Linked DNA regions of Danio rerio. The protein of the gene in region 2 purifies or fractionates together with the protein of the main gene of each other region. This does not show direct contact. Links are inferred from orthologs where the notes say so. Each region holds a gene or a part of one and is shown on either strand. Other genes may lie near its edges. The genes, in order: prkd1 and hdac5.

The links.
Region 1: the proteins of hdac5 (region 2) and prkd1 purify together in Homo sapiens (affinity purification with western blotting; 4 studies listed by BioGRID, with this or other methods). This does not show direct contact. The link is inferred for Danio rerio from reciprocal best matches to the Homo sapiens genes HDAC5 and PRKD1.

The regions. Positions count from the first base shown.
Region 1 is NC_133192.1:30,382,825-30,387,208, reverse strand, and holds the start of prkd1 (serine/threonine-protein kinase D1), read right to left. Parts: upstream 2,842-4,384; 5' UTR 2,661-2,841; coding exon 2,496-2,660; exon of another isoform or gene 2,418-2,495; intron 1-2,417.
Region 2 is NC_133178.1:21,716,978-21,720,703, forward strand, and holds part of hdac5 (histone deacetylase 5), read left to right. Parts: intron 1-999; coding exon 1,000-1,119; intron 1,120-1,197; coding exon 1,198-1,295; intron 1,296-2,193; coding exon 2,194-2,312; intron 2,313-2,518; coding exon 2,519-2,652; intron 2,653-3,726. UniProt on the Homo sapiens protein: Responsible for the deacetylation of lysine residues on the N-terminal part of the core histones (H2A, H2B, H3 and H4).

The DNA.
Region 1 (4,384 bases), on a different chromosome or scaffold from region 2:
CCCATGCCTAGCTAGGCGATTTGGCCTAAAATCTAAATCTCAAATTTAACTCAATTACAATAATGAATGATTATTTTGTTTTTTTATTTTTTGCCCTTATAGTTCACTGACAAGTTATGTACTGTAAATATGCTCACATATTATATTAAAATGAAGGGTGCATACTTGATTTTAAAATAGTTGAAAGAAACGCACACTATCTACTATCTCTGATTGTTTATTGAACATCAACATTGAACAACTGAAATCTAAACACACATTGCCTAAAAAGAACAGTCAAAAAAAAGAGCTAGGAAAAGTAATGTAAACAATTGACCTGGAAAAATTAGAACGATTATAGGTTCTGAATGTGGATTTGATTGCTTTTCGATTAATCACCCAGTCCTGTCAGAGGACCAATTTTGAAGATAGGTAAAACTATATTTACCTATGCTCCCTTCTCTTATATTTCAAGTCTTCTATAGTTACTTTTGTGAGGAAAAACAAATATAAGCCACTTTTTAATGAACAGGGGTTTGTTTCCCAAACCACAACATAACTTGCGGCTGAACTATTATAGTAAGATGCATAGTAAAGTCTGCTTTTACAACGACACATTCAAACCACTGCAGAAATGTTCTAACCAACAGACCCATGTCATATACAGTACAGATACATTTCTTAGTAAATAACCTATTATAAATTAAAAGCATTAACGTTTGCTATATATTTTTGTTTCCACAAGCTTCAGAGACCAAACCTAAGTTCTGTTTTTAAATAATAGGTCACCTATAGCTTTCATCATGAGCCTCGGCTGCGTTCAAAGTGGCATCAATGTTTTCAAAGTGCATTAAAAAGGGAACGCAATTGTCAATGTAAAGATTGCTAAAACTAAACTGCAAAAATATTTGAAACTAAACTGCACCTAAGAGAGATGACATTAATGCTTTTTTTTTAATGATTCCAACTTTGAATGATGGAACGTTCGAAAGGAATAGGGCATGGGGGGGATAACTTGGAATAGAACACATCCAGGAACTATGCTTATAACATCAGCTCTAGAGGTGTAATTACAAGCATACAAGTCTGCGATGCAGTTTGCGATTGTTCGTCGGAATGATGGATTTGGGAAACGCTTTATTTCAAGTAGAAACTTATATACATTATATTTCTAGTAGTAATATAGAAACCATATTTTCACAGCATTTATTCTACAAGCTCCATTTCAAGTTAACATTCTGTTAGATCACCTATTATACCACTCAGCAGAAATCAATTGCTTTTTGGTGGATAGTTCCAGCAGAATTGAAAATCTGTTATTAATTCTCATCCTTAGACTATCCAAGATGTGAATTTGGTTATTGATAAATTTCAAGCCAATCAGCACTTCAAGAGTGAAAAGATATACAGCAAATCTACACAACTCCATAGCTTCTGTTTAAAAAACTGAGCATAATTACTTTCAATCCACAGCCATTGTAAATGGTCCTGAGCGTGAACTGTGTAAACAGTCAGTCAGTATGACTTGCATGTTATGAATCAAAGAAGACTATTCCAGCTAAAAATCATCAATAATGTTATATTGAGGGTGAATGTCACCTTTGACATTATTTTTGGGTGATCTTTTCAATGCCAATTTCATAACTGATATTTATGAACTTCTAGTGTAAATTTGACATTGCTTTATTAGAAAAGCAGAAAAGCACTTAGCAGCAGTTATTATGCTTTAGCTTGGTATATTCAATCAATTTAATCTGTTTGATTAAACAGTTCTCACATTATTCTGTTTAATTAATAACCAAAATTTTGGTTCAATGCCACATTATACTGGTGAGGCAAAAAAAAGTCCTTACTTGCCCTGATATACACTGTAACATACACATCTACTATAATGAGATTTTCCAAATATCATGGAAGCAACAACTTGAGGACAAAATCCACTAAATATTTTGAAAGGTTTCAGCACAAGAGACAGGCCTGCAGTGCAGTGATGCTGTGTTCCAGTAGGCTACAAGCCCCTCACTGGCTCAATAAGTAGGCTACAAAACGTCATCACTGTCAATGGAAAATACAATGCAGAACACTTAATGACGCTACACATTCAGTGTGTTTCAGCTGATTCAGGTTATGAAGTAAATAATGTTCTATCAGTAATTAAAAACAATTTCAATGCAATTTTCTGCCTTTTGAAAGTTTACAGCTCAGTTGTGAACCTGTAGCAGAATCCTAAATTATACATTACTAAATATAATAGGCTCATAAATTTATAGACATAAACGGATGATATAGCCTATGAAAAGCAATATTTTAATAAAGCATTCAAGTTCGTCGTAACTTAACATCATGTGAGGTTGGAACGAAATTCCAAATTCCCATAAATGCTTAAGTAACAAGTGGGCTAAAAGTTGGGCTATTTCCAAACTCCGGACCGCCACTTCTTGTTCAGGGTGATGAAATCTGTGGCATTTTTACGTGAACGACAATGAATGAAACATGAGGATTATGGAAAGTGTTACCTTCTGGTCCACGATGGAGCATGCCATCTCTCGGACTTGCGCCAGGCTGAACTCGCCGGAGTCCAGCAGGACGGGTTCCCGGCTCAACCCGATCTGGATTTGGAAAGAAATGCCTTGCGACCCCGGGAGGGGGCTCGGCGGTCGGATTACCGGAGGTACGCTCATATGAATCCCCTGTTGTCAACACAATTACGCCTGGTGGACAGCGATCGGATCGGGCTGTTTCACACACGAGTTCACACACCGGTTGCGCAAAACTGAGGCAAACTTCAGATCCCTAAAGACGTTCAGAGGGTAAACGAGCGAAAAACGTGAATTTGAGGAAAAAGCGATAGCACGGAAATGCAAAGAGTTATTTGGACATTGAGAGGCGAGGATGATGATGATGATGGAGATATAGACGTCAGATATGTTTAATGTTGGGCTCTGATCAGACACCGCCTCCTGGCTCCTTCATCATCACAGCTCAGATGATGCTGCAATGGCGATCGGGGATGTGAATTTGAAAGTTTATGTGCTGTGGATTCATTCTTCCCTCTTTGAAATATAGATAAAATTGGTGTTTTTCCCGTTTACCGGACTTATGAAGTGGAATCGGTAGCCTGACAATAATTGCCATGGTAACCGTAGCTTCCGCCAAAATACTTCCGCAAAACCATATGGGGCATCATTCTTCACACAGCAATGTAAGATTTTAGAATAATCGTTTTTGTTTTATGTAACAGGTGTGGCTAATGTCATGTTACGAGTTGTGATTTAAACCTGAATCTATCTATCTATCTATCTATCTATCTATCTATCTATCTATCTATCTATCTATCTATCTATCTATCTATCTATCTATCTATCTATCTATCTATCTATCTATCTACACACACACATTAAAAAATGTATGTATTTATATGTGTACATATACATACACATACATACATACACAAAAAAGAAAAAATAATAATAATAAAATATATATATATATATATATATATATATATATATATATATATATATATATATATATATATATAAATATATATATTTTTTATTATTATTATTATTATTTTTGTTACATAAAACAAAAACGGTATACATATATATATAGCTAGGTTAGTTTCCAGCGATAATTTCTATAAAAAATGGCAGTTCTGTTGCTTGATATAAAAGTAACCCCCATTCACATATGTACAATCATTCATCATATCAACTTGTGAGGATGGGCTCTTTTTATTATGCAGAAATATATGTATGCTGTTAGCCGTTTCTATGGGCCACTAAATTGGTCTTTATATGTAATCCAGTATGTAAACATTTGATGGCAAGTTGACTGTGCATCTGCAACTGTAGTTTAAACCATTCATAAATATCTACATTCGCAAAAAGCTTGAGTCGTAACACAAGACAAGCTAACGATGACAAAAATTTATATTCATTAATTTTCCTTTGGCTTAATCCATTCTTCATCAGTGGCCAACACAGAAGAATGAACCGTCAACTATTCCAGCATATGTTTTATGCAGCGGATGCCTTTCCAGCTGCAACCCAGTACTGGGAAACCCCCTTACACACTCATTCTCTCACACACACACACATCCTCATACACTATGGCTTTAGTTTACTCAATTCACCTGTACCGCATGTCTTTGGACTGTGGGGGAAACGAGAGCACCAAGAGGAAACCCAAACACGGGGAAACTAAAACACGCAAACACAGGCAGAACATGCAAACTCCACACAAAATTGCCAACTGGCCAGCCAGGAGTTGAACCAGCGACCTTCTTGCTGTGAGGTGACAGTGCTAACCATTGAGCCCCTGTGCCGCAACATTTATATTTAAATACACGTAATGTTGAGTTAAAACATAATCACTTTTTATAGGGATGCTAGAATGCAGT
Region 2 (3,726 bases):
GTGAGTTTTTAAGGATGTACATGCAATACACAGCCACTTGTTATGCTACGAGGCAAACATCAGTATTAATATAACTACTAGGCTGTTTCCTGTGCAATTAGTACATTTGTGAACTTTCCTACTATGTATTCCACTGTCAAGTGTTAGGGGTATTATAGCAAAGTAGAAGCATTTGGGAAATACAGCAACTCAGCCACAAAATAGTAGAATTACAGAGTGCATACTAAGGTGTATAGAACACAGAAGTCACCAGCTTTCTTCAGGCTCAATAGCTACAGTCCTTAAAAGTTTGGTAGTCTTCATATTTGCTTAAGAAGAGTGTGTAGAGATCTTCATTAAATGGGTTTCCATGGCTGAGCAGCTGCATTCAAGCCTTACCAAGTGCAATGCAAAGCGTAGGATGCAGTGGTGTAAACATGGCACCACTGGATTCTAGAGCAGTCTGGAGTCAGAATCTCTGCCTGGCAATCTGATGGACAACCCTAGGTTTGGTGGTTGCAAGTAGAATTGTGCTTGTCTGACTGCTTTGTAGCAAATGTAAAATTTGGTGAAGGGATGATTGTGTGGGGTTATTTTGTTAGGTTGTTGGGATTGGTCCTTAGTTCCAGTAAAAGGAACTCTTGATGCTTTAGCATACCAAGACATTTTGGACAATATCATGACCCTTTTTAATCTAACATTACTGCCCACCAGTGCACAAATTAACACTCTTAAAGACATAGATGATTGTTTTGGGTGTGAAGGAACTTGTCTGGTCTGCACAGAGTCCTGAACATAACCCAATTGAACATATTTGGGATAATTCAAACATTGCAACTTGGTCAAATATCATGTGCCTGGCCTCTGGATCCATCCATGGAGCAGGGAATTTTGTAATGTTATACAATGTCTTGGTGTGTTTTTTAGCAGTTTATGTGTTTTTGAGTTTGATTAATTGTCATCGACATGTTTACCGGACCACAAATACCAAAATCAGACTTTACTCATTGCTTTTTATAGGATATCCATCATGGAAACGGGACCCAGCAGGCTTTCTATAATGACCCCAATGTGTTATATATTTCTCTGCATCGTTATGACGATGGCAACTTCTTCCCTGGCAGTGGCGCTCCTGAGGAGGTAACAACATTTCCATCACATTATTTTGTGGCGTATGACTAAAGTTGCCATTGTTTTTCAATATGGCTTGCTCTGCAGGTGGGTGTGGGTCCAGGAGAGGGCTTTAATGTCAACATTGCCTGGACAGGTGGAGTGGAGCCACCTATGGGTGATGTGGAGTATCTAACCGCCTTCAGGTGACATCTGCACTTCCTGTCTGTCTGTCAATAATAGAGATAAGAAAGCTGATGCTAGATTTAATCTCACTTTCAGAAACTCTTGCCTGTCAGCTTAAAAAGGTTAAACATAGGTCCAGAGAGGACTTGTCAAAAACATCCTAAAACATCAAATTATTAAGATTTTTTTTACTTTTACACTGAAATAGATTTTAGTAGATGACAGTTTGTTTACATATTTATTCATTGCTCAATAGTAGAAAACAGGGGGGGAAGTGTGTATTTGCTCTCGAGGCCAAACTATTGTATAAAATGGATGCCTGCTAACAAAGAAAGCATGGCTTTACGCTTAAATAATGCTTGGATTAAATATTGTTATTTCAGTCGGAAACACAATCAAAATGTAGTATTAAATATGTAATATTATACATATTTTTGGAAATTGTATACTGTTTTCATTAAAAAACACCCAAAATAAACATAAAAATGAATTGAAAAAATGTCCATAAGGATGCACAAGAATTATTTGTTTTTATACAAATCTCACAAAATGGTATTTTACACTTCAAATTGATGTGATTTGAGGAGGAGTGTCCTTCCAGAACATTAGCACATATTCTGATTTTAATTAAAGATTACCAGAGCAAGCATTTGTTTTCCAATGTATAAACATGAATTGGTCACCTCAATATTAGCAAATAAAGTAAATAGTCAGTCATTAGCTTAAGAAAAAAGTCAGTTTAAATAGAAAAGAATCATTTTTTACTTCATGAATATTTTTTATTTATTTATTAATTTTTTTTGTAATGCTTTGGTTTCATTTCTTATGGAATCTAAATGGTTAATGGAAAGGTACATTTAAGGTAAAAACATTTCATGAAACTACACTAAAACTCTTGAAAAATGTGTGTGCTTGTAGAACGGTGGTGATGCCCATTGCCAATGAGTTTTCGCCGGATGTGGTGCTGGTGTCAGCTGGTTTCGATGCTGTGGAGGGCCACCAGTCACCGCTGGGCGGATACAACGTCACTGCCAAATGTGAGTAAACGCGAGAGCTCAGATTGCAGAAATGTTTTTAGTATCCCCTAATTGTATTACACACATGAAAGCTATGCATTTTTCTAGATCATTGCTCCAAATGTCATACTCATAGTACTTGGATTAGTCTTTTTCACTCCTAACCTACATTACACTGTGGTTTTTAGTTCATGAATTACCTAGCATGCTCCTGTCTCTTTTCGTAGGCTTTGGTCATCTCACTAAGCAATTGATGAAGTTGGCTGGTGGTCGTGTGGTTTTGGCACTGGAAGGAGGTCACGACCTCACCGCCATCTGTGACGCATCTGAATCCTGCGTGGAGGCACTTTTGGGAGATGAGGTGCCTGACATTAATTCACACACACACACACACACAAACACAAACACACACACACACACACACACAATAATACGTGACATCTGGTACTTTTGGTTTAAAACTGTTAGGGTTTGGAGTCTTAGTGATAACAACAAAGGGTTTAAAAAATTGTAGTGATCAGATTATTTCTTTAAAAATGTATTATGTATATAGATATTGCTTTGTCATAAAGTTCATTATATTATATTATATAAAAATGCATGTAAGTGTATAAACACTTGATAGCTTTAGTGTCCACCCTATATACAACACCTTAACTTTTCCTGCTTTTCATTGTAATGTAATGTGCATTTTTTGTAAAACTGCTTCGGAACAATTATTACTATAAAACTCACTATACAAATACATCTAGGGCTCTATTTTAACCATCTAGTCTAAAGCGCATTGCGCAAAAGCATTTAGGGTGTGTCGAATCCTCTTTTGCCTTTTTAAGAATGAAAAAATACGCTCTGCATCCTGGTGCATAGTCTAACAGGGTTGTGCTTATTCTCTTAATGAGTTATAGGTGTGTTTTGGACATAACGTGCATTAAACCAATCAGAGTATCATCTCACATTCCCTTTAAGAGTCAGTTGCGTCGCTTCCTGGTGCATTTGCTATTTAAATGGTGGACTTTGTAAGTGGAAAAACAGAACACTTCACTAGCAAGAAAACAGTTAAACAGACCATCTGCAGCAAGAGGATAAAGAATGAGCCTCTTCCATTCTCTTTACATAGATAAGGAAATGGTGGAAACTCACTCCACTGAAGACATCCATTAGCCTACATATTTTATATAGTTTTGTTAAGTGCAAAGATTTGTTTCAAAACTATTTCTAAACTTTCCAGCAAACAAATAAATGAACAATAATAACCAAGTGTGGTCAAAAACCTTACTATTTATGTCCAAACACACGTCCTGTTCTTATGCCCCATATGTTGATGCATACATCTCCAAAACCCAACAGATGGACGAATCTAAACTTATTTTAATTAAAGCAAATATGAATATGCATATAATTAATAATACTGCTAACAATAATAACATTAAATGCA